Linked DNA regions of Alligator mississippiensis. The protein of the gene in region 4 interacts with the protein of the main gene of each other region in a biochemical or structural test. Links are inferred from orthologs where the notes say so. Each region holds a gene or a part of one and is shown on either strand. Other genes may lie near its edges.

What was found.
Region 1: the proteins of XRCC1 (region 4) and APTX form a complex in vitro, tested with the Homo sapiens proteins (2 studies listed by BioGRID). The link is inferred for Alligator mississippiensis from reciprocal best matches to the Homo sapiens genes XRCC1 and APTX.
Region 2: the proteins of XRCC1 (region 4) and PNKP form a complex in vitro, tested with the Homo sapiens proteins (3 studies listed by BioGRID and IntAct, with this or other methods). The link is inferred for Alligator mississippiensis from reciprocal best matches to the Homo sapiens genes XRCC1 and PNKP.
Region 3: the proteins of XRCC1 (region 4) and POLB form a complex in vitro, tested with the Homo sapiens proteins (5 studies listed by BioGRID, with this or other methods). The link is inferred for Alligator mississippiensis from reciprocal best matches to the Homo sapiens genes XRCC1 and POLB.

Annotation. Positions count from the first base shown.
Region 1 is NC_081826.1:152,796,975-152,804,579, forward strand, and holds the start of APTX (aprataxin), read left to right. Parts: upstream 1-4,597; 5' UTR 4,598-4,682; coding exon 4,683-4,804; intron 4,805-5,365; coding exon 5,366-5,505; intron 5,506-6,788; coding exon 6,789-6,835; intron 6,836-7,471; coding exon 7,472-7,605. UniProt on the Homo sapiens protein: DNA-binding protein involved in single-strand DNA break repair, double-strand DNA break repair and base excision repair.
Region 2 is NC_081828.1:39,808,187-39,815,504, reverse strand, and holds the start of PNKP (bifunctional polynucleotide phosphatase/kinase), read left to right. Parts: upstream 1-4,311; 5' UTR 4,312-4,352; coding exon 4,353-4,557; intron 4,558-4,768; coding exon 4,769-4,815; intron 4,816-5,404; coding exon 5,405-5,863; intron 5,864-5,983; coding exon 5,984-6,063; intron 6,064-6,435; coding exon 6,436-6,493; intron 6,494-6,572; coding exon 6,573-6,680; intron 6,681-7,318. Other genes in the region: TRPM4 (transient receptor potential cation channel subfamily M member 4), read left to right, coding at 218-350, 567-639, 860-956, 1,253-1,257. UniProt on the Homo sapiens protein: Plays a key role in the repair of DNA damage, functioning as part of both the non-homologous end-joining (NHEJ) and base excision repair (BER) pathways.
Region 3 is NC_081830.1:17,181,785-17,189,623, forward strand, and holds the start of POLB (DNA polymerase beta), read left to right. Parts: upstream 1-4,827; 5' UTR 4,828-4,892; coding exon 4,893-4,953; intron 4,954-5,030; coding exon 5,031-5,088; intron 5,089-5,171; coding exon 5,172-5,238; intron 5,239-5,503; coding exon 5,504-5,578; intron 5,579-6,301; coding exon 6,302-6,360; intron 6,361-6,668; coding exon 6,669-6,718; intron 6,719-7,558; coding exon 7,559-7,610; intron 7,611-7,839.
Region 4 is NC_081838.1:29,416,636-29,423,528, forward strand, and holds the start of XRCC1 (DNA repair protein XRCC1), read right to left. Parts: upstream 3,009-6,893; 5' UTR 2,880-3,008; coding exon of another isoform or gene 2,823-2,879; 5' UTR 2,658-2,822; coding exon of another isoform or gene 2,628-2,657; 5' UTR 2,451-2,627; coding exon 2,400-2,450; intron 1,626-2,399; coding exon 1,533-1,625; intron 1,352-1,532; coding exon 1,244-1,351; intron 893-1,243; coding exon 734-892; intron 478-733; coding exon 400-477; intron 290-399; coding exon 175-289; intron 53-174; coding exon 1-52. Other genes in the region: phospholipase A2 inhibitor and Ly6/PLAUR domain-containing protein-like, read left to right, coding at 2,628-2,657, 2,823-2,879, 4,276-4,492, 5,274-5,393, 5,687-5,839, 6,247-6,387, 6,680-6,893. UniProt on the Homo sapiens protein: Scaffold protein involved in DNA single-strand break repair by mediating the assembly of DNA break repair protein complexes. Negatively regulates ADP-ribosyltransferase activity of PARP1 during base-excision repair in order to prevent excessive PARP1 activity.

The DNA.
Region 1 (7,605 bases), on a different chromosome or scaffold from region 4:
GAAGCTGGGGGATGGCAGCTAAGGCAGTATCACAGATAATGGCATCCTTTGCATAGAGTTCTTTTAATGCTCAGTCCATTGGTCAAGCTGTTCTTGCTTGTCAGTCAGGATAGGACCATCTTTCACTTTCAGGTTTGCAGTCTTTTTACAAGTTGGACCAAGTGCCTGTTTAATTCCATCATAGGTACCACAAAGGTCCCCTCTTTCAAAGCAGATCTGAATCTTTTTGCACAGATCTGTTACCTCACCCATCTGCCCAGCAGATGGCAGTAAAGAATTGCTGAAGCTCAACCAACCCAGCATGGCATAGGCAACACACAACTTCAACTTAACTAAAATCTAACTTTTAATTAATATATGAAATATTATATTGGTAATTTATATATATAGAGAGAAAAACATTTAGATCAATGGTTTCACCCAATCCAAGATGTTCCCCACCACAGGTCTTATAGGCAATCAGCAGTCCTGAAAGTAGAGGGTGGTTGTCTAGGTGGTCTTCTGTCTGGCATGGTCCAGATGTTGTTGGATAGACAATTACACACACTTATTTATGTGTTGCCCCTTTTTATGCTTTTTATTTAACTCCACTCCTCTGAGATGCTTCATTCCCAGGTACCATTGATTGGTTTCCTTGTGGTCATCATACAGTCCACATTCTATCCTGTCAGCATATTCCTTTGTTCCAACACACCCATCACATCTTAATTTGGTCTTTGGTCTTAATGTGGGCATGTCCCTGGCCTCCTAATTTGGTCCATCCATGAAAACCGGAAATCCCAAGGGCTCTGCAGTCGGGCAGTGTCCAGTTGGTCCCCTCTTATTATCTTTCATTAACATATCCCATCCCTCTGATTCAGTTGACTAGTGCCAAGTTCAGTTGATTTAAGCTAGTAACAAAGCCCACATCCTACACACCTATGTTGATCACACTAGAATACAAGCTACCTTCTCATACTGATAGTCAAGAACATAACCTGGAAGTGAGCCCAAGGCTACAGCTGACAATACAGATATAGAATGTAAAAAGAAAAGTTCAAATAATACTGTAATTCACAACTCAAGCAGGTCCAACAAAGGCTAAATATAACAAAGCTACCCTAACAGATTTTGCAAATGCTTCTGGGCACATTCTCTGGTGGCTTTCTGGACTGCAGCCTTAGTCTCTTTGAATTTGAGATTTCTGGACTTAGTTGGTTGTTGAAGTAGAGTTAGGCAAGCTTGCTTTTTCTTTTCTATGACTGGGAGCAGCAGATGTTCAGACACTGCTCCCAGTCAGGGTTTTTTTCTTTGTTGTCCCAAAGATATCCTTGGTAGTAGCCAGTGTCTTGTTCTTGAAATTTTCACACAAGGTGTCAGAATCAGGGGAATCAAGTTGATCATTTTAAGAAACATGCTCAAGCATACATTGAAATTTTACATGCGTCACAGTCCTTCATGTTAGCGATGTTGAGGCAAGGTTTGCCTACAAAAATCACGGACACTGAAAAGGTCTTGTACCTGTTTTCAGAGTTAGTGGGTAGTCATGGCTCTTACAAAGTGGTTAGCTAGAAGAAAAAAATCAAAATATAAGTGCAGATGAAAAACCAATTGCTCATTACTGCACTGATTGACAAATTATTGTATTAATAGAAAAAGCATTGTAGATCTGTTTTCATTACTGAAGTAATGGCTTATCAAAAACAGGGAAGAGTGTAATCTTCCAGGCCCCTTGCTAGTGCTTACACCCTCTGACGTCTTCTCTGTTCGGTAGACTGGTGCATAATACCTTGATGTTGAAATTAGTAGGGGAGGCTACATGGAGGGCAAGGGATGCATTTGGAAGAGATGGTACCTGTCTAGTCCAAGACTCCCACCTTGGCCTCTCATGCAGAAAGGAGGGCTGGGGTAGGGGAGGGACACCATGGTCACCTGTGCCCATGCCTGCTCACCTGCGCACCCCTGGGCTGTGTGCCCCATGGCCTTTGCACCGGGTGAAGGCGGGGTGGCCCTCCCTGCCCTGCCTGGCTGAGCTTCCCATCCACTGGCCTTCCCCCCACAACACACAGGGAGGTAGGAAGCAGTTCAGGACTTTATTGAGTGCCCAGCAGGCTCAATGCCTTTTTTTTGCCCTAGTCTTCACAGGCAAGGTCAGCTCCCAGACTACTACACTGGGCAGCACTTTGGGGAGAAGGTGAGCAGCTCTCAGTGATGAAAGACCAGGTCAGGGACTATTTAGAAAAGCTGGATGTGTACTAGTCAATGGGTCCAGATTCAAAGCATCCAAGGGCGCTAAGGGAGTTGGCTGATGTGACCACAGAGCTGCTGGGCATTATCTTTGAAAACCCGTGGTGATCGGGGGAGGTCATGGATGACTGGAAAAGAGCAAATATAGTGCCCATCTTTAAGAAAAGGAAGATGAAGGATCCAGGGAACTGCAGACCAGACAGCCTTATCTCAGTCCCCAGAAAAATCATGGAACAAGTTGCCAAGAAATATATTTTTAAACACTTGGAGGAGAAGGTGATCAGGAACAATCAGCATGGGTTCACCAAGGGCAAGTCATGCCTGACCAATCTGATTGCCTTCTCTGATGAGATAACTGGCTCTGTGGATTTGGGGAAAGCAGTGGACGTGATATACCTTGACTTTAGCAATATGGTTCTCCACAGAATTCTTGCAAGTAAGCTGAGGAAGTGTGGGTTGGATGAATGGACTGTAAGGTGGAGAGAAGGCTGAATTGTCCAGCTCAATGGGTAGTGGTCAGTGACTTGATGTCTAGTTGGCAGCCGGTATCAAGTGGAGTGTGCCAGGGGTTGGTCCTAGGGTGGGATTTGTTCAATATCTTCATTAACTATCTGGAAGATGGGATGGGGCGCACCTTTAGCAAGTTCGCAGATGTTAGCAAGCTAGCGGGGGGGGGGGGGGGGTAGCAGATACACTGGAGGGTAGGGCTTTATCTGGGCCATTCAGAGTTACCTAGACAAATTAGAGAATTGGGCCAAAAGAAATCTCATGAGGTTCAATAAGAACAAGGACAAAGTCCTTCACTTAAGACAGAACCCCATGCAGCTACAGGCTTGGGACCAACTGGCTAAGCAGCAGCTCTGCCGCAAAAGACCCGAGGGTTACAGTGGACAATAAGCTGGATATGAGTCAACAATGCCCCCGTTGCCATGAAGGCTAACAGTATGCTGGGCTACATGGGTAGGAGTGGTGCCAGCAGAATGAGGGAAGTAATTATTCCACTGTTCTGAGCTAATGAGGCTACATCTGGAGTACTGTGTCCAGTTCTGGGTCCTCCACTATAGAAGAAAGGATGTGGACAAGTTGGAGAGAGTCCATCAGAGGGCAACAAAAATGGTTTGGGGGTTGGAGCACATGACTTTTGAGGAGCAGCTGAGGGACTGGGTTTAGGGTACAGACTGAGAGGGGATTTGATAGCAGCCTGTAACCACCTGAAGGGCAGTTACAGGGAGGATGGAGCTAGACTGTTTTCTAGGCGCGTTTGTGGGGTGATACGGAGAAGACAGCTCTGCTAAGGACGTGTTGACTTCAGAACAGACATTTCATCTGTCAGTCCCGACTGGGCAGCTTTTCTTTTGTTGAAGAACGTGCGATTTCAGGCTTTTTCTGGGCCACAAAAGTGGAAGTAGCTGGGAGTGCTGGCATCGCCATTACCGGAAGGCCATGGTCCGGCTCTGGCTGCGTTGCCCACGTTAAGGAGGAGGGTTAGGAACCGGGACGCTTCCGCTGTGCAACAGGGCCAGGGCCGGGGCCTGCGCCCGAGGAGCCCCTAGCACCAGCGTGCCCTGGAGCAGCGGACGCCAGACATCTCCCTCGCCCCCCCACACACACCGCCCCCTGCAGGGCGGGGCGGGGAAGGCGCATGACAGCGCAAGCGCGGCAGGAAGCCCCGCTCTCCCAGCAATGACGTTTGTGGGCGGGGTTGCTCAATGTCGCCGGTATCGTACGGGTCACCTATTGGCCGCGACGCAGTGGGCGGGACGGGGCGTGTTTGGGTGTTACGTAGGTGAGTGAGCGGCGTCTCGCGCTGTTGTCCCCCGCGCCGGCGCGGCGCGGCGCGGCGTGGTGGGGTGGGGTGGCCCCGGGCCGGGAGGCGAGCTGGGGACACCGTGTGGGCGGGTCCTCGTGCCTGCCTGGGCCGCCCCGGGCAGCTGGAGCCGGGCGCTTTGCGACGCCGGGAGGGAAGGGGGAGGCCCGGCCGGCGGCCCTCAGCGCCCCCCCCCATGACAGCGCGGCGGCAGCTGGGCCGGTGTCGCGCTGCCTGGAGCCGAGGGCGGGCGGGGTGAGCAGGGGCCGATCCAGAGTTTGGCAAGGGGAGGTGCTGGAGGCCCAGACCGCGCTGCAGGGCCGGCTCCAGCCCCGGCCCCTTAAGATCAGGGGTTGGCAAGTTTCTAACTCCAGCCGGGTGCTGCTTGTGATCCAGCTGCTGCTGGGGGCTGCCCTCTCTGGGGCGGTTCCCCTTTGCTTTCTTCCCCTGCCGCGGGGCACCAACAGAGGCAGTGTGGGGGCTGCATCCCAGTGGTCCTGGTCATCAGCCTCATGCCCCCTCACCTCTGCTGCGGAAGGAGGTATCAGCTCTGCCAGTAGTCTCTGGGTCTAGGGACCCTCTGGCACCTCCCCCCCCTCCCTCTGCCCTGCAGCTGCCTTCATGAATCCCCACCCCGACCTGCCACTGAATGCCATCATCTGTGCCATTTGGCAGTGGTACATTCTGTGCAACTGAGCCAGTTGCAGTGACGGGGGGCATAAGGATATCTCCTGCAGCAACAGCACCTTCCTCCCCCACCCAGCCTTTGGTGTAGGTAACATTCACTTATTTAAAGTGGAGAAAATTGCACCGAAGGGAAGCCCTTTGCTCAGTGTGGACAAACCCTAACAAGACTGTGTTGGCACTTACAGGATTGTCCATGGTGGTAAATCCACAAATGGCGGGTATCAAATGTGCATAGTAAATTCTAGTGCTTTATTACTCATTGGGGATATTCCTGTTTCAAAACTTATGCCTTTTGGTGTATAAATGTATATTTTAATATAAATCTACTTGGTGTGTGTTAAAAGTACATTCCACACTAGCACCTTTTTGCTTGGAAGGTGATAAGGTACAACACAAACATTAAGCAGGCCTTGAAATATCTCTGTGGTATAGGTTGCTGTTGTCCCTGTTTTATGGGTGGGGAAACTGTTACAGCAATATTAAATGAAGCAGCCAAGATGCCACAATTTACTAGTGGCTTGGTAAAAGAACTAAGAATGGCTGGCATCTGATCCTGCCCTCTGGCCCCTGCATCACAATTGCTGTCTGAATGCAACACACTGTATGCAAGTATAACGATATGTTCTCTCTCTCTGTTGTGTTCAGCAGTGCAATAATGCTTGTGTGTTGGCTGGTGAGGAGAGATAAATGCTGCCCAAGAATCAAGCTGCCTCACTTAAAAACAGTAGTGATAGGGCGCGGCCCGGAGACGGAGATAACAGACAAAAAATGTTCACGGCAGCAGGGTAAGTTAGAGCTGCAGTGTATTTGTAACTGCTACTTTGATGGTGACCTAGTAGTCCCAGAAATATTGACATGCCTACGAGACCCTGAGGTGCAGATGTAGGTTTCCGATCTGGTTTCTTGTCATTGTAGAATAAATCTAAGCCTATTACCATAAGCCAAAGGGTCATCTCTCTCCTTTCTGAACATAGTGTTGCCTATCTCATGCATCCATCATCCTTGTAGGACCCTAGATAATCTCCTATAACCTGACCAGCAGGAAGGGAAGCAGCCTCCCTGCAACCAGAAGGGAAAGAAATTGACCTTGATGACAGCTGTGTATATGATCTATATGGTTTAATAGATTTGATGAAGGGTATGGAGGGACTTTAGAGTGTGACATTCTTTCCAGGTTCTTGTGAACATGTTTTATCTTTATAAGTTGTTCATGTTCTAGAGATGCCTATAAGTGCTTTTTATTAATTGAAATTAACAAGCTACGCATGTTCTGTGGAAGGGATATCATTCTTCATTAAATTCTGTGGGCTTCTTTAAAAGATTCTATTCCTTGATATTGTATCCTCTATTAGAGCTATAAAATACCAGGTGATGCTGTCTGCAAACTTGTTTCTCTGTATATTCTACATTTTTTTAAAACAGGTTTAGCTTTTGGATAATGAATAATTCACATAAGAATGGATGTCCAGGATGACTTCAGTCAATTTTCTCATCTTGAAGTTCAGCAGTCAGTAGTGTTATTGTGAAGTAATTTTGTTGGTATGACTCAGAAAATCATACTTTTCTTATTTTAAAAAACAAAAAACCCCAATACTGTGAGTTTATTTCTGGTGTGTTACTGAATATCCAACTAATAAGTTCAGATATTGCCATCATATTTATTTAGACTTCTGTTTTGAATGGGGACAGAAATTTTAGCAACAGACTCGTATATAGATATTTTCAGACCCAGCTTTGTTATCCAGAATTTTTGAAAAATATGTCACTCTCTAAAGGAGAATCTTATATCCCAGCTGAATGCAAATTATTTTATGCCTATCAGGGTTTCTCGGTAGATGTGTTGGCCCTTGTTGAAAATTAACTGAAGCAAAATGTATAGGATTTGACTGAATCAGACCCTTTAGCAGGAAGTATGCATCTGCTTATACCTATTAAGCTGAAGTAACAACAGAACTTGCATCATGAAATGTGTGGCCTAGATCAGATGCTCTGTAAAAACTGGCTTCAGCAGTACTCAAAGAAGAGGGTCTGGCCACTAGGTTTCTGATGCTTTTTTTTTTCTTTCTAGTACAGCTAAAAGCAGACTGTAATAAAGGCTATGTCTGGATCAAACAGGTATGCTGTCCCATGGAAGTGGAGTGTTGTTTATTGGGTGTTATCATTGTGTTTACACTTTACAAATCGCAGCTGGTGATGTAGCCCTGTCACAGACCTTGTGATCTACTCTGTGCATAATGTGTTCTGGTTGGTAGGCTTATGCTGTAGCACTCCTTTTGTGTCCTGTAGAGGTAGGGAACTTTCATTCTGTTCCTCGCATTGGATAATATCCTTTAAATGAGTCAGGTCTACTTAAGACTGTTGTTGCTCCTTGCTTCTGCTGCTTGCAGCTTTAGACTGGGAGAGTAGATCTTTACTAGCTAAGCAATATTTTAACGAATACATATGTTTGAATGTGGACAGAGCTTAACACTTTTACAACATCTTAACAAGTTAAAGGCAATGTGAGGCCTCCCCTCTGGGGTTAGCTGACATTATTAAAACACCCTATTTCCTTTGTATAGACAAACCTTCTGTATGTCCACACATCAATCAAAGGCACTAGCCTTAAATCCACTAGCAGAGGAAATACTACTTTATTTCTTCTTTGCATTCTAAGGACAGTGATATTCTGGGGATGATAGGTTCTGATGAATTTAGAGTGCTAAACTATTTAAGTCAATTCCAGCACTCTGTTTGCTTTCTTCTCCAAAGATTGGTGTGAATCCAGCCAGCATTGATTTAGTGAATATTGGCAAAGATGAAGAAGTGAAAATGAAGCCGGGGCAGGTTCTGCATATTGTGAATAAACTTTACCCCTGTACTATACAATTCTTGGAAGAAGCAGG
Region 2 (7,318 bases), on a different chromosome or scaffold from region 4:
TCTGTGCCCCCACCCTCACGTGAACTTGCAGCACCCCCCAACTCCCTGCTCCATCCCCACCCCACGCCCCGGGAAGTCCCAGGCTTTTTAAACTAGGCCCAACTGTAAGTTACTTTCAGCCCCTTTCCCCATGTTAGCTCCCATGCCCTGCCTGCATGGTTCTTACGTGTGTGCATGGTCCCTCTCCCCCTGGCCCGGATGCCTGGGTCCCTGGCAGCGCTGGAGCTATCTGAGGAGCAGGATGGGCAGCTGCTTACATGGGAGGCGGTGCAGAAGGAGAACCACCTGGTAGCACTGAGGCGCCAGAAACGTGAGAGTGACACCGAGCGCCTGAAACGCACCTCCCAGAAGTGAGGCGGGGCATTGGGGAGGGGGGCTAGGGAATGGCTGCGGGGAAAGAGGGGTGCAGGGGGGAACCCTAGGCAAGGGGAGACATAGAGAAAGTGGAGGGGGTGGGAAAAGAACAGGGGGTCACTGATGGAGCCTGGGATGGGGTGCAGCAGAAGCTCTGAGGTAGAGGGGCTGGGGGGACCCCTGAGTGACCCCCATTCCCTCCCCCTACACAGGATGGACCAGGCCTTGAAACAGCTGGCTGAGATCCGGGAGTCAGAGCGACACCTCAAATCCCTGGAGAACCAGGTACCCGGGTGGCAGGGGGTGGGGGCTGAAGGACCCCATCTTGGGGGGGGGGGGAGGTTGAGGAGGCAGGAGAGGGGGCTCTCTATGTCAGGGTCTCAGGGGAGAGGGTGCCGGAGGCAGTGGGGGGAGGAGGGTTGGGGGTATAAGGGGCAGAGGGAGGGAGTGAAGTAGGCTTGGGGGCACTGAAGCTCTGCCCCCCCGACCCACCCAACCCCCCCAGATGGAGTACTGTACGCAGGCTCTCTCCTGGGTGGTAGATGCCCTGGCTCAGAGTGACCTAGGGAAGAAGCACCAAGACCCTCCCATGCTCAGAAAGGGTAAGTGACCCCATCCTCCCTGGGCTCCTAGCCCCCCGCCCCCCCACCCCCCGCAGGATGTCCCCTACTCCCCAGTCTCCATCTCCCTCCCCCTTGGATGCAGGCTGCCCCCTCAACCCTGGGACAGGGTCCCCCCATAAGCAACCACCCTACTCCCACCCCAAGAACCAGGCCCCTCGGGGGGTGGGGCAAAAATGAAGGGGTTAATTGGCTCCTTCATATATTAGTGTCCCCCCCCAAGCTGCAATGTGACCACCTCCTGCCTGTCCTAATTCTGTCTGTCTCCCCCCAACCAGAATGACCCACTCCCCCAACTCTGCCTGGACCAGTGAGAAGATGGGAGAAATGAGAACCCAGGTGACCAGGCACCTGGGACCTGCTGGAATCCAGGACAACCTCTGTAACCTCACTGTGAACCCAGGTGTCTGGGTGCTGTGCACTTTCTGAGGGGCTGGAGTTGGAACACCCCCCCCCCCCCCCCCAATCATTGCACTGGGAAGCCAGGAGTCCAGCTACCAGAGACTTTCCCTGTGGGGCTGGCATCCAGGATCCCCACCCCTGTAGACCCAGGTGACTGGGTGCCAAAGGACCTTTCAGAAGGGAGAAGCAGAGGAAGGAGGGAAGTTGGGGTATCCTGCCCCCAGCACTGCCCTCCATCCACTCTGGCAGGAGCCTCAGGATCTTGAATGACTTGAATTCTTTGATTAAATAAATATTGATTGTTGCACACCATGAGAACCAGGCCTGGGGGGCAGGGGCTGGGTGAAGTGGGACCCCCCCCCATGCCAGGATCCTGTGCTGGGAACCTCTGATACCCTGCCACTAGCACCCCTCACCTTGAGAGGCCTAGCAGAAGGGTGCCCTGTGTGCAGGAACCCAGGACTCTGAGCTAGCCTGGGGGCATGAGAAGGCCCCTACAGCGTCCACTTTGCCTCCAACCAAAATCCTCATGTGGTTCTCCCTAGGCTCCAGAGCAGCTGTACACCCCCATGGTCCCCCCAAGGACCCCCTAGACTTTCCCCTGGCCTCAGGGTGCCCTGCTTTGGGGTATCTTCTTCACCTACCACTGCCCCTCCCTGCCTGTGGCACCTACCACTCTGCCTCTCCCTCCCTGGACCCTCTCCCCCATGCTGGTGTGTGCCTAGGGACCCTTTTATAATGAGATGACTGGCTCTGTGGAAGTGGAGAGGGCAGTGGATGTGATACACCTTGACTTCAGCAAGGCTTTTGGTATGGTCCCCCTCAACATTCTCACAGGCAAGCTAAGGAAGTATGGGTTGGTTGGATGAATGGACTGTAGGGTGGATAGAAAACTGTCTGGATCATCAGGCTCAGAGCCTAGTAATCACTGGCTCAATAACTATTTGGAACCTGGCATCAAGTGGAGTGCCCCAGGGGTCAGTCCTGGGGCCAGTTTTGTTCAGTGTCTTCATCAATGACCTGGAAAATGGCATAGAATACACCCTCAGCAAGTTTGCAGATGACAGCAAGCAAGCTGGGGGGAGCAGTAGATACACTGGAGAGTAGGGTTTAGATTTAGAGAAATCTTGACAACTTGGAGGACTGGACCAAAAGAAATCTCATGAGGTTCAATTAGGACAAGTGCAAAGTTCTGCACTTGTACCAGGGCATTGTTCTGTCCTAAGTAGGCAACCAACTGGCTAAGCAGCAGTTTTGCAGAAAAGGAGCTGGGAGTTACAGTGGACAAACTGAGTACGAGTCAACAGTGTTGCAAAGAAGGCTAACAGCATATTGGGCTGCATGAGTAAGAGTGTTGCCAGCAGACTGAATGAAATGATTATTCCCTTCTATTAGGCACTGGTGAGGTACTGTGTCCATTTGTGGGTTCCCCACTACAGAAAGATGTGGACAAATTAGAGAGAGTCCAGTGGAGGGCAACGAAAATGGTTCAGGGGCTGTGGCACATGACTTCTGAGGCTGAGGCAACTGGGCTTATTTAGTCTGGAGAAGAAAAGACGGAGGGGGGGATTTAATAGCAGTCTTCAGCTACCTGAAGAGTGGTTCCAAAGAGAATGGAGCTAGACCGTTCTCAGTCGTCACAGAACAAGGAGCAATGCTCTCAAGTTGCAGCAAGGGAAATTTAGGTTAGATATCAGTAAAACACTGGAACAGGTTGTCTAGAGAGGTTGTAGAATCTCCATCCCTAGTGTAGTTTTTAAGACCCGGCCAGACAAAACTTTGGCTGGGATTTTTTTAAAATATAATTCTATATATACATAGAGTTATATATATACATCCTCTAGCATAAACTTTCTATCACACCTTTAAATCACTTTAAGAAACCATGCACCTGTTGGAATAGATGATCTCCTTAGGTCCCTTATTTTCTATGATTCGGTGACCCCTTCCTCTATTGCAAGGCCCCCTGTCTCCTCCCCAGGCAAACTCTCATGGGCAATCCCATTCTCTGGTTCCCTCAGCCCTTCTCCCATACACCAAGGGCTCTGGGGGCCTCATAGCCACCCCTTACTGAATCTCTCGGCTCTCCAGTGACTTTGGCAGCGCCCTCTGGGCACAACCCATAATTGGCTGAGCCCACAGCTCTACTATCCCCAGCCTGGGCCACAGCACCACCTCTCCATGCTGTCCTGGGCTGCACCAGAGGGTCCCCCAATCCTGGGCAGCACTCACTGGGCACTTGGGATGTGGCAGGTAAGGGACCAGGTACCAGGGCACAGCACTGAGTCATGCAGCGGGACTGACGCCAGCAATGCCCCCCCCCACCAAGCAGAGGGCCGTGTGCCCCACAGACCTCCCCCACCCCGCTAGAGGCTCTGGGCGTCGCCCCCTCCTCCGCCCCTACGAACCAAAATGTCCCGGAACCCTCGGCGCCTGGTCCTGCGCGCGCGCCGGCCGGAAGTGGTTGTGGCACCCGCACCGGAAGTGCCGGCGCTGCAGCGGCGGGAACCTCCGAGGGAGAGAAGCTGCCGCCGCCGCTCCTCCCCACTCCCGGTTACGGACACAGGGGCCACTTCCGTGGTGGTGGGGGGGGGACTGCAATAGGTGTGACACTCCCCGCCCACCACACCCCGGCCGTGGGGGCAGCTGAGGTCCCTCCTCCTAGGGCCCCCCTGCAGCCCCCCCAGGGGCGGATCAGGTCCCCCAGGGTGAAACTGCCTTGTGGCACTAGGGGCTGGGGCCAACTGGGGGGAGGGGGCTTCCCCAGGGATTCACGGTGCTAAGGTGGGGATAGGGGTGATGAGGAGGAGGAGGGGCAGAGCCATGGTGGGTCTGACTTTTTGGGGGGGGCGGGAAACAATGGGGGAGGGGATGGGGATGATGGGGGGGGTCGGCGGTGGGGGAGGGGTTTGGGACAGCGGGGAGGAGCAAGGGAATGGGGCTGGCTGTTTTGGGGTGGGGCAGGAGGTGGGGCTGATGGAGAGGCAGGGGGAGATGGGACTGGAGGTGCCATCCCTCACCTCCTGCCCAGTGCCTCTCCTTCCACCTGCAGCCATGGCTTGCCACCTTGTGAGCCAGGACGGGAAGCACGACCCCGTGCCCCTGCCCAACGGCATTGCCGTGGTGCTGGGCCGTGGCCCCGAGACCCGTGTGGCCGACAAGAAGTGCTCCCGGAAGCAAGGTGAGCCGGGCCCCCCCTCCCCCCAACGATTCCCTCTACTCTCCATGCACTGTGTGTAACTTCCCCCAACCCAGGTACAGCCCTCCCAAACCTGCTTGCTCCCCCATCCCAGACCATCTTGTCTGGGGAGTGGCAGGGGGGCTAGGGTGTCTGGATTTGGCAGCATGGGGGTTGCTTGTTCTGATTCCCTCCTTGCTGTTTTCTTTTGCAGTGGAGCTGCTGGCTGACTACAAACAGCAGGCAGTGAGAGTCACTCAGGTAAAGGGTGAAGTCAGGCACAGGGGCCAAGAGGCAGGTTTGTAGAGGAGTTGTTTGTACAGGGACCCCATGCCTGACACTGAGATGCAGCTGGTTCCAGGGTGGAGTGTGTCTGGGACTACTTATGCAGAGTTCTCTTTCCTGGTGCTGAGATGCAGCTGGCTCTGGGTTGGGGCACATCAGGGATCTCTTACCCAGTACTGAGATGTACTTGCCTTTGGGGTAGAACATGTTAGGGCCTGGTTATACAGAGCGCCCTCTCCTGGTTTTGGGATGCGGCTGCCTTTGGAGTGAGCACCTTGAAAGCTGGTGCATCTTGCTTGGCACTAAGATGCAGCCATTTCTTGGATTGGGGCACGTGGTGGGCTATTTATACAGGGACCTTTCATTTGGTACTGAGCTGCAGCTGCCTCTGGGGTGGGGGCACCTTGAGGGATGGTTATTCAGTTATCCCTTGCTCAGTGCTGAATTGCAGGTCCCTCTGAGGTGGAACAAGTTGTGGGCTACTTATGTGGCCACCCCTCCCCTTGGGCTAAGATGCAGCCACCTCTTGGGTGGTCTCCCCTAATGCACCCCCCCTTTGTTGCAGCTGGGTGTAAATCCCACCTCAGTGGACAACCAGGAGCTGGGGCAGGGCAAGAGCGCCACCCTGAGGGAGGGGCAGACACTATGGCTGGTAAACCGCAGCTACCCCCATGGCCTGCGCTTCCTGGCCCTGGCCCACTCCCCCCACAAGACCCTGCTGGACTTCTTCAGCTCCAAGCGCCAGCCCCAGCTAGAGGGGGACAAAGATGAGGATGAGGAGCATCCCCACAAGAGACTGAAGGCTCCCAGCCCCTCTGAGGAGGATGAGGAGGAGGATGATATTGTAGCCACCAAACTGCATCAGCTGCAGGACACAGCTGCCCAGGCCCAGGGAGCAAAGAGTGGGGCTGCCCCCCAACCCTTGGGGGGGTCCTGGAGCCTGCCCCCCCACCCCCAGGACTCCTGGGAGCAACACAGCAAGCTGCTGGTATTCACTAAGGAGGGTGTCATGCCCAGCACCAAGGTACTCTCTGGTGGAAAGGGACAGGACACCTCTGGGAGCTGAGGGATTGGGGTTGTGGGGAGAGTGGTGAACTTCTCTGCTCCTCCCCAACTCCAGGCCCTTGATTCCCTGTCTCTGCAGGTTGCTGGGTTTGACCTGGATGGAACCATCATCACCACTCAGTCAGGAAAGGTTTTCCCTACCAGTCCGGACGACTGGAGGTAAGGACGGGTTGGGAGTGAGGGGCACCATGAAGCTGGGGGGGGGGGGGGGGGGGGAGTTGAGGGCTGGGACTGCAGTAGGGGACCCCAACAGAGCTGGGGGAAACCCAGGAGTGGGCTGGCTGGGGGCAGGTGTGGGGAGCATTAACAGGGTTTTGTGGGGCAGGAAGTCAGGGGCAGAGTGGGAGACGTTGACAGGGTTGTGTAGAATGAGATGGAGAAGGAACTTAGGAGTTCTGGGGAAGAGCTAGGCACTGGCAGGGCTGTGGGCAGGGGGCTGTGGGTCAGGAGCGAGGGACCCCAGCAGTTTCCAGCGTGTGAGGTCTTGGGATAACTCCTGTCTCTTCCCTCCCCCTCTCTCCACCCCCCAAGGATCCTGTACCCTGAGGTCCCCCAGAAGCTGAAGCAACTGCAGAGAGAAGGGTATAAGGTATTCCCCCCCACCTTGGCCCCTCCCCCCATTCCCTCCCCCAGCCTCTCCACTGACCCCCACATTACTGTCTCCCCAGATCATCATCTTCACCAACCAGCTGGGGATCAGCCGAGGCCGCCTGCGCCCCGAAGTCTTCAAGGCCAAAGCGGAGGCAGTGGTGGAGCAGCTGGGGCTGCCCATACAGGTGAGCAGGGCTGGGGTTGGAACCTGGGATGTGGGGGGTTGGGGGGCTAGGGGGTTGGACCCTGTCTAGCTCCTGCCCCCCTAGTGCTCAAAGATGCCCCCAGTGCTGTGTGTAGTCCCTGATGGCCAGCTCAGATTTATAGATTCTAAGGCTGGAAGGGACCTCGGAAGATCATCGGGTCCAGCCCCCCTGCACCAAGCAGGACAGATGACTGGGGGTCAGGTGACCCCAGCAAGGTGACCATCCAGTCTCCTCTTGAAAATTTCCAGGGTAGATGATTGCACCACCTCTGACGGGAGATTATTACACAGTCTGGACACCCTGACTGTGAAGAAGTTTTTCCTAATGTTGAGCCTGAATCGGTCTTCCAGGAGCTTGTGGCCATTACTTCTAGTTTTCCCCTTGGTTGCCTTGGTGAACAGTTGCTCACCAAGCCCTAGATGTATTCTGCTAGTGTAGCAGTAAGCTGCTATCAGGTTCCCTTTCAGCCTTCTTTTCTTCAGGGTGAAGAGTCCCAGATCCCTCAGCCTTTCCTTGTATGGCTTGCCATGTAATACCCTGATCATACAGATGTCTCCTCTTTGGCTTCTCTCAAGCTTGTCCATGTCTGTTGAAGTGTGGTACCCAGAACTGGACAC
Region 3 (7,839 bases), on a different chromosome or scaffold from region 4:
GACCTTGTAGATCTTCCAGTCTGACCCCCTGCCTGGAGTTTTACAGCAAGGAGCCCAGTCTTGCCTCCAGGACCCAAAGGGTTTCTTGCAGTATTTACTGAACAGCAACAGGTTCTTCTTTTCTCATCCCTCCAAGAGAAATCCAACGCAGATTGTGTTGCTAACACCAACCTCAAGAGCACCTGCCAGGCACCATGGGCAACGTAGTGTCCCATATGACCCGTCACGGCACCAGAAGAGCTGCCGCAGCTCTCCAGGACCACCCGGGTGCCTGGGCCAGCAGCAGGAGGCGGGTTCCAGGTACACTGGACCCAGCAGCAGACAGACAAACAGCTGCACAAGGCTGCTGAGGATCAGAGTCGGACCAATCAGCACACAGAAGAGGGCACACACCCACCATGCCCTGGCAGCCAATCAGAATGTGAACAAGGAAAAGGAGCACCTTGGCCCACCTCCTCCAGCAGAGGCCAATCAGAGCAAAGATGGGTGGAATGGCCCTGACCCCGCCCATGCGGCCAGTCCACCCAATCACCTCACGCCTCAAATTGACCAATGGAAACGCGAGACTGCGATCCAGGCCCTGCTGCGATCCATGTTCGTGAATCGTGTGTCTGCCCTGAGCAGCGCGATCCCTGTCCGGTCCCAGCTCCATGGCTCTGAGCCACTTTCTCTCTCTCTCTCCGCCCTCGTCTCCTGGCCCCAAGGTCCTGTCTGTGCCACAGGACGGCAGCACTGGGCAGGTTCTTATTTCTCTGGCAGCATTTCCTGGCTACCCTGCCCAGTGCAAAGCTCAGGATTGTGGCACTGGCCGGGTTTTGCCAGGATCTCCAGGCCCCAAAGCCCGGTGAGAACCATGCCTAGGCAGCACTGAGCTATTTCCCTTATCTGCCCTTCTCTCCTGGCTGCAATGCACAGGGTGAGGCACTGGAGGGCAGCACTGAGGGTTTTTTAATACTACATGTATGCATAAGGTGCCACTTGCATATCTATTAACTGCACATATTAATATATACTAGATGCCCAGTGCAGCGTTGCTTGCATGAAAATCCAATGAGCCAATTTTTGCTTGAGATCATATTTTATTGCACTTCAACAGCTTCACAACACTTCCGCATACATAAAATCCTCAAACATATGACACTTCCTTACTGTAAGAGATTTACAACACTTCTGTACACACAACATTCCTGGTTTGTTACTCGAGTCAGCAGTCACTTCAAATCGAATGATTTCTGGGTGGGAGATTCTGGAAGCAGCCACATATAGTTGTCCATGAGTGAAGACAAGATCCAGAAGGAACACTCCTACTCTTTTTAATGTTTGCCCTAAGGCTTTATTGATGGTCATGCTGAATGCCACCTGCACAGGGAACTGTAGACGTGTCCACATGAATGGAAAGGTGTCGTCAGACAGCTTCAGTGCTACCCGAGGAATTAGTACTGTTCTTTCTGATCCAACAATTTTTGCCTCATGTAGTCTGCTGTTGATGATGGATTGCACCAACAGCCACGTTCCACTGCACAGACCTTAGGGGCAAGGTTTCGCAGAAGCATGATGAGCATCCCAGGCTTAAGGTGGAGCTGATGTGGAGGCAAACCTGACACCTCCATGGAATTCAGGTACTCAGTTGGCACAGCCATAACACGTTCATCCTCTGAAAGAGCACCTGCGCTTATACAAATCCATTCTTGGCCTGGAAATTTTGCCCCAGTAGCACTGATGATCTCCTGTACAATGGAATAATGCGGTGCCAAAATAGCTCTTTCAGATGTCCATCCTGGATTTTGATAGTTATCCAATAGATTTGGAAATGTCCATTCTATCTTTGCTGAGCGTATTTTGCACTTCGTGCATCAAAACCTTCCTTACATAGTTGCATGTTCTCACCAAGTTGGAAAACCTGGAAGTGGCTCCACAACTCAGATCACTTGAAGCATGCCTCTACTATTTGTAGCCTTGAGGCATTTTTCACAACAGGCAGGATTTGCTGAATATCATCCCCAAACACTATATCACCTTGCCACTAAAAGGTAAATTGGTCTGCAGTAAATCTCACAGCATCCGATCTAGTCTCCAGCATGTACCGATGAGCCATTGGTGCTTCATCACAGATGATGATAGGTGCTTCTCGAATCAGCTCAGCAAAGTCAGACTGGGCTGATATGCTGCAGGTGCTGGTTTTCAACACGTTCAGGGGTACCCTGAACCTTCGGTGCACAGTCCTGCCTCCCGTAAGCACGGTAGCAGCAATTCCACTGGATGCCACAGCCGATGCAATCTTCCCTTCCCAGTGCACTGCTGAAACAATCGTGTAGAAGCAGAATGTTTTTCCTGTACCACCAGGTGCATCAACAAATGCACAAAGTGGCTTTTGATTCTTCACTGCTTTCAAGATTGCACCTACCATTTGTCACTAAGCTGGAAGCATACATGGCAGTGAATCTTGAGCAATTTGGCGTTGCTCCTGCCGGTTATAGTACGGCTCCTCAGCTAATGCATTTGACATACATTTGCAGGGCTATGCCCTGCTATTATGTTCAGTACCGTAACAGCCTGAAGGGTAACGCTGCATGCAAGCCTAGCTGGCAGGCAGCGCCTCACCTACACAAACACATCAGTGAACTCGGTTCTCTCACCCAACTCCCTCTCCGAACAATTTCATCTATCGCAGTGAGGCTTCTTACTTACTAGGGCTGTGCGAGGATTTGGACAGAGCTTCGGATCCAGAAAACTTCGGATGCTTCGGGGTCGGAATCAGCACATCCAGGTCGAAGCGCTGGCCTCCTTAGGCTTCCCAAAGCGGTTTGGAACTACCGAAGAGCTTCAGAGCCGCCTCGGAGATCTGGCCGTAGGGTATAATGGGGAAACAATAAAATATAATTTTGTTGGGTTTTGTCCGATTTGGATGAGATTTTCCTGGGTGGTAGACTCCGCAGAGAGGATGAAGCCTGCCGAGTTTCAAGATCAGTGTAGGGGTTTGGCAGTAACAGCACCCCAAATTCTTGAAAACAAAACTCATGTCACATGTAGGCGTTACAACATAGCGGGGTGAAAACTGCAGGGGTGGTAGCTCTTACTGAGGCCACAAAGCTTGCCAAGTTTCAAGAACGGTGCAGGGGTTTGGGGGGGAACTGTCACCCCGCTGTGCCTTAATACACGCAGTGTCACCCGTGGCACGAGTTTTGCTTGTCGGCAGCTTGAGGTGCACTTCCCCCCAAACCCCTGCACCAATCTCCTTGAAACTTGGCCGGCTTTGTGGCCTCAGTAAGAGCTACCAGCCCTGCAGTTTTCACCCCCCTGTGGTGTGACATACAGTCGCGACATGAGTTTGGCTTTCAAGAATTTGGGGTACAGTTCCCCTCAAACCGCTGCACCGATATTCTTGAAACTTGGCAGGTTTCACGCTCTCATCAGAGGCTACCATCCCTGCAAGTTTCATCCAGATTGGACAAGAAACAACAAAGTTATAGATATTTCACTGATTCCTCATTATACCCTATGGCCGGATCTCCGAGGCAGCTCCAAAATTTCAGAGCCGCTTTGGCTGGATCGAGGCGGAAACCCAGTCCAGCACTCCAGATTGGATCACGGCCATCTGAAGCAGCCGGATCGGATCACTGCCGACTCGTACAGCCCTAATACTTACTAACGGAGACGGCACGCAGTCGACGTAACATTATAGATTGAGACCCAACTGTAGTGATATTTGAATACCTAAAGCGCTGTTATTTTAGAGAGAGAACGAGACTGCAGTTGGACCACTGTTTATTCTGGCAGGTAGTGTGTTCTACGCACACCCCGTTATTAGATGCATACCTGCGCAGTTTCAAATTCGTCGAGGCCTGTATACAAAGAATAACACTGTCACATCAACCTCTACTCTGAACAGTTTCCTATTTTACAACAAGGACCCCCAGCTCTCCCCTAGAACCGAACTGAAGTGACGTCTTGCAGTGCTTCCCGAACAGCGGGGGAGGCTTTCCTTGTAAAAAAGGGAAATTCCGTTCAAATGTGGGTAGCAAGGCACCGGATAGGCAGATTCGAGCAAAGGACCCGCTCTCCCGTCCCTGGCCCGCACCCTGCCAGCCGAATGGGGCTGCTGGGCATCGGAGTCGGACCAATCGCCACACAAGAGGATCCCAACAGCCAATCAGACTGCGGAGCAGCGGGACTGTCTCCTGGACCCCCCCCCCCCGGCAAGTCACAGCGAGGACTAGCGGCATGGCCCTGACCACGCCCACGCAGCCCTCCCCGCCAATCGTCACGCGCCTCCTGGCAGCCAATCGAAACGCGCGCTTGGCATCCCGGCTCTCGGGTCAACCCGATACGCTTCATTAGATTAGACCAGCCCCGGGAGTTGGCGAAACTCTTCCGTGCGAGTTTTGGGGCGCTCTTCCTGCGCATCTGCGGCTGCCCCCACAAAAGCTTGCAAGGCACGTCCCCCCACCCGCCCAAAAAGCACTCAGGCGGTCGAATAAAGGATGCCACACGTACCCGCAGACACCTGTGCGCACACATCCTCGCCACACACGTCCCTGCATCGCTCCTCAGGGGAAGTGCGGCACTGCCCCTTCACCCCCACCCCCCAACTGCTCTGCAGCAAGGACGACAAGCTCCCCTAGAACCGCACCTTTCTCATGTCTTTTTCTTTTGAAACAAAGAGACACCTCAGTTTTTACAAGCAAACGGCCCCGGCACACGGCGGTTGGAGCGCCGTTTGCCCACATGCTGCGCATGTCCCTCAAGGATGGGGCGCATTCGCACTGCTCCCCGGCGCGGGTTCTACTGAGCATGCGCCTGCCGCCGCGCATGCGTAGAGCGAGGCAGGAGGCTCGGCGGAGTGCGCAGGTGCGCGCCGGGCGCTCCGCGCGGACCGGGCTGCGGCCGGGGCCATGAGCAAGCGCAAGGCGCCGCGGGAGGGGCCCAACGAGGGCATCACCGACTTCCTCACCGGTGCGCGGGGCGGGGCAGGGTCGGGTGGGAGGGCGCGGGGCCGGGCGGCGCCGTGACGGTGCCGCTCGGTCCCGCAGAGCTGGCCAACTACGAGCGCAACGTGAGCCGCGCCGTGCACAAGTACAACGCGTACCGGTGAGTGCGGCCGGGCCGGGCTGGACCGGGGTGGGGTGGGCTGCGGGGGCCGGGCCGCTCCCCAGCAATCTGCTTCCCTGCAGGAAGGCGGCCTCCGCCATCGCCAAGTACCCCAGCAAGATCCGCAGTGGCGCCGAGGCCAAGAAACTGGTAGGTGTCTGCGCCCTGGGGCGGCCGCCCCACCTGCCGTGCTCGCGCGCTGCACAAAGACCCATACCTGCGCGTGCCCCTCGCCTGTGCTGCGCTCTTTGGTGCCTCTTCGCTCCAGGCGCGCTGCAGCGGCTGATGGTCATATCGCAACTCCCGCTGCCTGGCACCGCTGGGAGGCTTTGACGCCTGCCGGACCCTTCTGTCGCCCGCCACCACTAAAATCAAAACAGGCCTTCTTTCCTTCCCCCTGCCCCTTGCTTTGCAGGAAGGAGTCGGGGCCAAAATAGCGGAGAAGATAGATGAGTTTTTAGCCACTGGAAAGCTACGCAAGCTGGAAAAGGTCAGCCCTTTTGGTTTATTCTGTCTGACGCTTATTTTCTCTCCTCCGCCCCTGGAGAGAACGAGACTAGGAAGGGAATGGGTAAAAAGAGCAGGCAGAGAGAACCTAGCGTCCCTGGGACCACCATGGGGTGTGATCAGCTTTTACTGCCACCAAATGCGTGAGGCATTTGTCTGACGTAGACGCTTCCTGCGATACCTTTGTCACCCTAGTCCTGAGATGAAATGAACCAGGCAACTGCTTTGTTCCAGACTTGGGCTGTCCCAAATCTTCCAGTGCACTTAAAACCTAATTCCATCTATCCATGTATGTAGTAATGCACATTATGAAGCCTGAGAGTTTGCCAAATAATAAAATATTATAAGGCTAAGTATTTTGCCAGTACAGGGCACAGCAAAAATTAACAACCTATTGCCCTTCTTCCCCTGTACCAAACTAAAACTGTTGTCAGATTTTCCATCTCTAGCTAAGGCTTTACACAGTCCCCCAATTTTTGATAAATTCATTGTCAAGCCCAAGAAGGAAGTATATTCTGACATAAGGGCTCTCCCCTCTGAACACTGTGTTGAGGTCCCTTCCATGTAGATCTGAGTGAACTGCAGCACGCTTGTAGGTAATGTTGTCTTTTTGCTCTGAACTGTAACAAACCTTGAGTGCAGTAACTTGCTGAGGTACCTTGGCTTACCATGGCCTTGCAAGTGAATGAGAAATATCTGTCTGTAGATCCGACAAGATGACACAAGCTCTTCTATCAATTTCCTGACCCGAGTTAGTGGCATTGGGTAAGGATTTTTTCCTTGTGTACTTCTTTCTGTATGTTTTATGGAACTGACCTACCCATATGAAATGGTTCATATCCAGGATATCCTTTTCCCATGAGTTTCTTAGCTAGCATAGGTAAAATGTTAACTCCTAGAGAGCCACCTGCTTTTGGAAGCACAGCATTGCAGACAGGCATTATGTGCCAAAATCTGACTGAGGGGTGGTTTCGATACTGGCTTGGGCGGACACAGAGGCAAACAGCAAGCTCAGGCATGCTGCATCAGTCTCGCATATGCTGTGTGTGCTTTGCTGTCCTCTCTCTCTTCAGTCCTGCGGCTGCCAGGAAGTTTGTGGATGAAGGAATTAAGACACTAGAAGGTGAGTCTGTACTACGCATCTCCCTGATTGCGTGGTAGATACTTTGGAAAGACCTGCAATTTATGATGTGAACAACCTGCCCTCTGCAGAGTGATAAGTGATAGCAACAGCGTGGCTAGAGAGAGACATTCGGATGCTTAAGTCGGTACATAGAAGATGCGCTCTGCATATGTAGTATCAAGGGGGAGATAATACATTCGTGCAGGGGGTCACGCTAGGTGGTCCAAGAGGTCCCTTCCAGCCCCAACAATTCTGTGAAGTTTTCCAAGCAATGCACCCAGGCCTGAAATCTTGTTTGAGAGGCCAGGGCAGTGCATGTACCAACCAACCTGCTTCAGGAACCAGGTAAGTCTGAGACCAGTCAGGCAGACAGGTGACTTGAGCACCCCTTTTGCTTCAGCAAGTGCAGCGCAGGGTGTGGTAATGCAAAGATGGGTCAGGGTGCCTTAGGAAGTGCCTTACTTAAGGCTGATGGCTTAAGCTGCTGACATTTAGCAGCTTTGTACTTGCCAGGATGTGTTGTTTTGAGGAGTAGAGCTGTGTCCCCAATCCATGCCCTTGCAGGGAAGAGGGGTATTTCAGGGCACATAAGAGCGAAGGAGCTCTGAGCCAGGAGAGAACTGTCTCTGAAGCTAGCTTCGTGCTTCCCTCCATGTACTGCTGCTGGGGGTGAGGGGGCTGCCATGGCTTGTTAACACAATGCAGAATCTTATCCTTTACGTCGCTCTCTAAAGCTGCTATTCTTTAAACAATCTCTAAATGAACCTCCCTTACCATGCAGCTTTCTGTTTCCTCAAGTACTTTCCTTTGCAAGTGATCTTTGTGTCCGGCTTCTTCTAGATCTAAGGAAAAATGAACACAAGCTGAACCATCATCAGCGAATTGGGCTAAAGTAAGCATCATTTCTTGGACATAGTTGCTTGCCTTCCATATACACATCCCAAGGCCAGTTTCTTCTTTTAAGCAGCAGTGGCTATCTACCACAAAAATCCCCAGTTCCTGCCTCTTCCCAGCTTTAATTTGTGTTGTATGCAAAGGATAGCAAGGGCAACTTCTAAGGAGCATGAGACCAGCCGAGGGAATCCTGCAGTCATTAGTCTGCCACTGTCTATACCGTTGCG
Region 4 (6,893 bases):
GCCTGGAGTGTGGCTGCAGCATAGCTGGGTCCAGGGGCTTCGGCTTGGGGGGCTGTGGAGAGAGAACCCAGGTGCTTGGAACCCTCTTCTCTCACCCCACAGCCCCTGCACCCTTCCCAGAGCTGGAGAGAACCCAGGCATCTGGGGTCCCAGAACCCCTCCCCTGGTACCTACCGCTGTCAGGGGGTGGGGCCTTGCTGGCACGGCTGAAGAACAAGGCCCCTGGCCTAAGGGACCCGGAGATGCCATCCTCGTCCTTCACCTTGAACTGGCCAAATTTGGTCAGCTTCTGCAAGGGGTGTGGGTTGGGAGTGAGGGACGCTGGCAGGGCAGAGAGCTGCAAGTCAGGAGTGAGGGGCACCAGCAGGGCTAGGGTGGGGCCAAGAGGCTGTCACTCACCGGGGAGGCCACTTTCGATTGGCTGTCCTTGTCCGGTGGCGAGTGGAACCTCACAAAGGACAGGCCGTATGCCAGGGTCTGGGGTTGCGAGGGATGGGGGCAGAGGGAGAAAACAAGCCATCAGGAAAGAAGCCAGGCGTCTGGGTTCCCAGCCCCACCCTGCTTCCTCCAGGAAGGATGGGACCCAGGCGTCCTGACAGAGGAGCAGGTGGGGGCTGCGGGTCGGTAGTGAGGGGCACTGGCAGGGCTGGGTCAGGGCAGGGGGCTGCGGGTTAGGAGTGAGAGGCACCGGCCGGGTTGGGGGATGGAGCCAGCCAGTTGGAGCAGGGCCCACCTTGCTGTAGGGCTGGCTGCAAATGATCTTGACCCGGTCCCAGCGCCGCTCGGCCGCTGCCCGCACCAGCTTGTCAGGCCCAAAGAGCCGCACACGGTGCAGGTTGGACCCGCTGCGGCTCTCGCTCGGGGACATGAAGGACGAGGTCACCAGGAGCACCTGGGGGGGGGGTGTAGTCAGCCACAAGCCCCTCCCATCCAGCACCTAAGTGTGTGTGCTGGGGGGGGGGGGGGGGGAGCAGCTCTCCCTTTATGCTATTGAAAAAGGTGGGGAAATGAGGCTCATGGGGAGGAAACAAGATCTGAACCCCTTCTTCCAGTCCAGTTCCTATAGGGTGAAAAGGCTTGTGATGGGGGGGGGGGTGACCAAGACAGGCTCCCCCCCACATTAGAAAACAAGGTGAACTGCAATCCCAGCGAGGACTACAACTCCCAGCCAGCCGCCGTTCCTTAGGTGCCCAGTGCCTGCCCAATTCCCTTTTCTCATGTGGGGAGCTGGAGGGGGGCTCACCTCATAGTCCTGCTCGCTGGGGGAGGCCGAGCTGCCAACTAGCACCTCCACGAAGGCCGAGCCCTCATTCCCGATGTCAATGCCATGGATCTGCTCCTCCTTCTCAAACTGCCCGGTGGTGGGGCGAAGGGGAGACGGTTTGGTTACCGGGATGGAGGGGATGGCTGTCGCTGCCTGCACTGTTCCCCCCCTGGAGAACCCAGGTGTCCAAGCTCCCAGCACTCCCCGCTTCACCCCCCCGGCGTCCCCTCCCAGAGCCAGAGGGAACCCAGGGCTGGGGGGTCCTCACTTGCAGAATGACCGAGATCTGCTTCTCTCCGGGCTGTGCCGCTTTCCACTTGCGGTAGGTGTCGGGTCGGAGCAGGTTCTCAGCGCAGTGGGTCTGGGGCGTAAGTGGGGGGTAAGTATGATGGGCACGACCCCAAGTCCCACCCCCGCCCCCCACATGTTACAACTCAAAATAAATTCTCCCACTCTATGTGCTTCAAGCATGACCTCCCCCCATGACTCCCACAATGGTCCCTCCCACTCCCTTCAAAATCCCACCAGCATGGTTTCTCCACATTCCCTTAGAATGGCCCCTCCCAAGCTCCCCCTTCCTCCAAAAAGTATCTCCCCTCACCAGGGTTTCTTCCAGCACCCCCCACTTCAAATGATCCGCTCCAAAAACACCTAAAATAGTCCCTGCCACCCCCCAGTGGTCTTCTCCAGATCCCACTGCCCTAGAATGGTTTCATCCATGGCCACTACACGCCCCCTCCCCTGACACGGCTGCCTCCAATCCCCCTCAATGATCTCTCACCCCTCTTAGCATCCCCCCAGCTCCCATGCCATAATGGTCTCTACCACTGCCCCCCCCCCCCGAAGGTCCCTCCCGGAATGGTCTCTTCCAATTATCCCCGTCCCCCAGCAATCCCCAACAGCCCTCTAGAATGGTCCCTTCCAGTTCCCCGCAAATGATCTCTCCCAAGTCACACCCCCCTGCAGCACCCCTGAATGGTCCCTTCCAGATTCCCTCCCCCACCAAGAATGGCCTCACCCAGTACCCCCTGGAATGGTCTCACCCACACTCCCTCAGCATGCAAAAATGGTCCCTCCCACCCCCACGCTCCCCTAGAATGGCCTCTCCCCCCCGGACTTCCCCTCTCCCCCGCACCGGGTCGGCGCTGCTGGCGGACACCACGTGCCGCACCGCGATCTCCGGCATCGTCCCGTCCCGTCCCGTCCCGTCCCGTCGGCGCCTCCGCCTCCCGCCCCGGAACCAAAACTCCGGCCCAGCCCGGAAGCGAAGCCCGCTACGGGGCCTCTTTTGGGAACTCTATGGTTGCCCGGGTCCTTCGTCGCGCTCTGCGCAGACGCGGCGACCGATTCCGGGCCCGTGCGCATGAACCAAGCTCCGCCAGTTCCTCCAGCGGTCCGTCCGCATGCGCAAGGCCTTTCCCGCGGGCGCCACTTGTCCCGCCTCGACACTGCGCATGCCTCTTAGCAGGTGCAGCTACTGCGCATGCGCACGCGCACTGCTGGGTGACGTCTTTAGGGTATGAAGTGATGTCACTGCTCCCCCGCCCCCTCCCTAAAGGCCGCGCTCGTCCCTCCGCCTGCCTGTGATGCCATCTCGACGCCCCGCTACGTCAGAGTAGACCTGACAGCGGCCCCATGGCGTTACGTCATCACACGTGCCTGACGTCATGAGCGGGGCCGGGGGACCGTGACGTCATCGTGCAGCCGGCGCTGCGGTCCTAGCTTGAGTGTACAGATGTTCACAAGCAACCAATGACTCCCCCGCCACAACTGGAGGGGACCCAGGAGTCCTGGCTCCCAGCCCCCGCTGCTCTCACCTCTAGGCCTCACTCCCCCACCCCCCGAGTACCCAGGCATCCGGGCTCCTAACTCCCCTAGACCTCACCCCCTCCCCGAGTACCCAGGTGTCGGCTCTCCTAACTCCCCTCGACCCCACCACCCCCATGACCCCAGGTGTCCGGGCTCCTAACTCCCCTCCAGCCCACTTCCCCCCACAGTACCGAGGTGGAGGCGCTCCTAACTCCCCTCGACCCCACTCCCCCGCGAGAACCTAGGCGTCCGCACTCCTAACTCCCCTCGACCCCACTCCCCTCCCCTCGACCCCACTCCTCCCCCCGAGAACCCAGACGTCCACGCTCCTAACTCCCCTTGACCCCACTCCCCCCCCCGAGAACCCAGGTGCTTGGGCTCTTATCTTCTCTCGACTCCACTCCCCCTGAGTACCCAGGTGTCCGCACTCCTAACTCCCCTCGACCCCACTCCCCCCCCCGAGAACCCAGGCGTCCGTGCTCCTAACTTCCCTTGACCTCACTCCCCTCCCGAGTACCCAGGCGGCAGCGCTCCTAACTCCCCTCCACCCCACTTTCCCCCAGAGAACCCAGGCGTCTGCACTCCTAACTCTCCTCGACCTCACTCCCTTCCCTGAAAAACCACGTATCCACGCTCCTAACTGCTCTCGACTCCACTCCCCACCCGAGTACCCAGGCGTCTGCACTCCTAACTCCCCTCGACCTCACTCCCCGAGAACTCAGGCATCCACGCTCCTAACTCCCCTCGACTCCACTCCCCCCGAGAACCCAGGCGTCCGTGCTCCTAACCCCCCTTGACCTCACTCTCCCCCAAGAACCCAGGCGTCCACGCTCCTAACTCCCCTCGACTCCACTCCCCCCGAGAACCCAAGTGTCCACACTCCTAACTCCCCTCGACCTCACTCCCCTCCATAACCCAGGCATCTGCACTCCTAACTCCCCTTGACCTCACTCCCCCAAGTACCCAAGTATCTGTGCTCCTAACTCCCCTTGACCTCATTCCACCCCCCCCCCCCGCCCCCAGAACCCAGGTGTCTGGGCTCCGAACCCATTAGCCCCTGCACGCCTCCTCCTGCCCCCTCCCCAGCTTCACCTCTGGGTGCACCAGCGGGTCCCCTGGCTCTGACCCCTCCGCTCTGTCCCCCCTCCGGAGAGAACCCAAGTGTCTGGGCTCCCAGCCCAAAACCCCCCTGCGCAACCTAGGGGATTGGGGCCCCCCAGGGTACTGGCCCTGCCGTGGAGGCGGGGAGCAGGGACCCTGGAAGCCTGGGTTCCCCCCACCTCCGGAGCCTGCAGAGGAGATCGGGGGAGCTAGGATCCCGGAGCAAGGCTTCCTTCCAGCTCTTGGGTGGAGTGGGAGGAGAGCAGGGGCGGCTGGGAGCTCCGTGCCTGTGTTCCTTCCAGCTCGGAAGCCTAACAGGTGGGAGCAGGGGGAGCTGGGATCCCGGACGCCTGGGTTCCTTCCAGCTCTTGCACGGCAGTGGAGCTGGGATCCCAGTAGCCTGGGTTCCCCCCACCTCTGGGGCGGGGTGTGCGTCAGGCCGGCAGCCAGGACACCTGGGTTCTCTCCTGAATAGCTGCACACATGGCCAAGCCTGGCAGGTGCGTGGGCCCCCAGCCAGCCCGCACCTCCCCGCTCGCCCCGGACCGGGCAGAGAACCCAGGCGTCCCGGCTGCCAACCTCTGCACCTGGCTGGGCTCCAGCGGGGGTGGGGGGTCACCAGCTCCTGCCCTGCACCCGGATGCTTCCCGGATCCACCCCCCTGCTCCAGGGGCTATAAGTGCCTCTGGGCAGCTTGGGGCCCCCAGTGCCATCATGCTGTCCCCCCTGGCACTCGGGCTGCTTGCTGCCCTGCTGGGTGCAGGTGAGACCTCCACCCACTGCCTGGGAGGGAACCCAGGTGCCCGGGTTCCCGGGGACCCCTGCCCCAAAGCACCCTGCTCCCCTTCTGGAGAACACCGGTGTCTGGGCACTCTCAAAGCCCTGACTCCCCCCCCACCGCCCCCCTGAGAGCTGGAGAGGGCCCAGGCATCCGGGCAGCCAGACCCCCGCTCTCGCCCCCAAGCCTCCACTCTCCTCTTGAAGAATCCAGGCGTCCGGGCCCCCCCTTCTCTCTCACCCCTAGTCCCTAGTCCCCTCCCAGAGAACCCAGGAGTCTGGGCTCCCGGGCCCCCACTTTCACCCCTTGCTGCCCCCTCAGGCTCCCCCCTGAGCTGCCATCGCTGCAACGGCACTGGCCTCACATGCACGGGGCCCCTGGTGCCTTGTGCTCCCCTCCAGGATGCCTGCTTCACCCTGACCTCGGAGACCCACATTGGGGGTGAGTTGGGCCAGGATTGGGGCTCCCCAGGCTGGGATTGGCGGGTGGGGGCTGTCTGGACCCCCCCAAGCCAGGATCGGGGTGCTTTGTGCACTGTACAGACCCCCCAGGCAGAGATCAGGGTGGTCCGGGGGTTCCAGGGGGATCTGGGTGATGTCGATACCGCTTCCCCCCAGGATCCGGCCACACCAGGCACTGTATATATTTTCATGCCGGTTTTAACTCCGTGATGCCTGGGTGGGGGGGTTTGGGGACAGGGCAATGCCGAGTCCCTCCTGTCTGTGCCCACCCAGGGACGCCGGGGAAGGTGGACACCTTCAAGGGCTGCACAGCGAGGACACTCTGCCCCCCGCGCTCGTCCACGCTCAGTGCCGGTGCCGGCGTGCGCCTGCGGGGGGGCTCCGTGTGCTGCTCCCATGATGGCTGCAACCGGGGCGCCGTGAAATGTATGGACCCCCCGTTCTCTGGAGCCAGCGGGGAACTCAGGCATCTGGGATCCAGCCCCTGAATCCCCCCAGACCCCAGGTGTTCGGGCTCCCAGACCCCCCCTGCTCACCCCCCAGCCCCACTCCCATCCAGGAGCTGACGGGAGACCCAAGTGTCTGGGATCCCAGCACCCCCTGCTTTCAGCCCCCCATGCAGAGCTGAGGAGGACCCAGGTGTCTGGGGTACTCGTTGCCACCCCACACTCTCACCCCACAACCCACATGCCCCTCCCAGAACCCAGGCATCTGGGCTCCCAGCACTGATTCCCCCCCCCGCCCCCGCGACCCCACTTAACTCCCAGAGCTGGAGAGAAGCCAGGCGACCCCTACCCTGAGCCCTCCTGACCCCGCCTGTCCGTCCGTTCCAGTGCCGCTGGCCCCCGGGGTCCTGACCGGGCGCTGGTGCCCAGGCTGTGCTGTTGAAGGCCCTGCCTGCAAGCCCAAGGAGAGGGTCCCATGCCGGGACCACGAGGACCAGTGCCTCTACGTAGCTGGTGCCATCCACGTCGGTGAGAAGCCAGGAGTCCAGGCTCCCAGCTCCCCCCACCCCCACAGCGATCCTCCCCAGGCCTCACTCCCCTCCCAGAGAACCCAGGTGTCCATCCCCCAACCCCCACCTCCTGTCTTGGGGGATGGGGGGGAGATCCCCTCTTTTGGGGGGATTTGGGGGCATTAACCCTTTGCTTGCCAATATGCTGCTGGGGGGGGCAGGGGAGAAAGTATAAGGGGTCTTCCAGGGCCCCAATCCTGGGACTGGGGTCCCCTTGGCCCCCCCCAACCCCTCCTGTGTCTCCCTTCCAGGCAGCTACAACTACAGCTATGCCTTGGGGGGCTGCGCCACCCGTAGTGCCTGCGTCAGCGCTGTCGGTGTCTATGAGGTCAGCGGGGTCTTCACTGAGGTCATCAGCAAGGCAGAGTGCAGCCCTGCCCCCTCCCTCCACCTCAGCTCCACCCCCGCCCCCACCCCTACCCCTACCTCCACCCCCACCCCCACCCCCACCCCTACGGCCCCTGG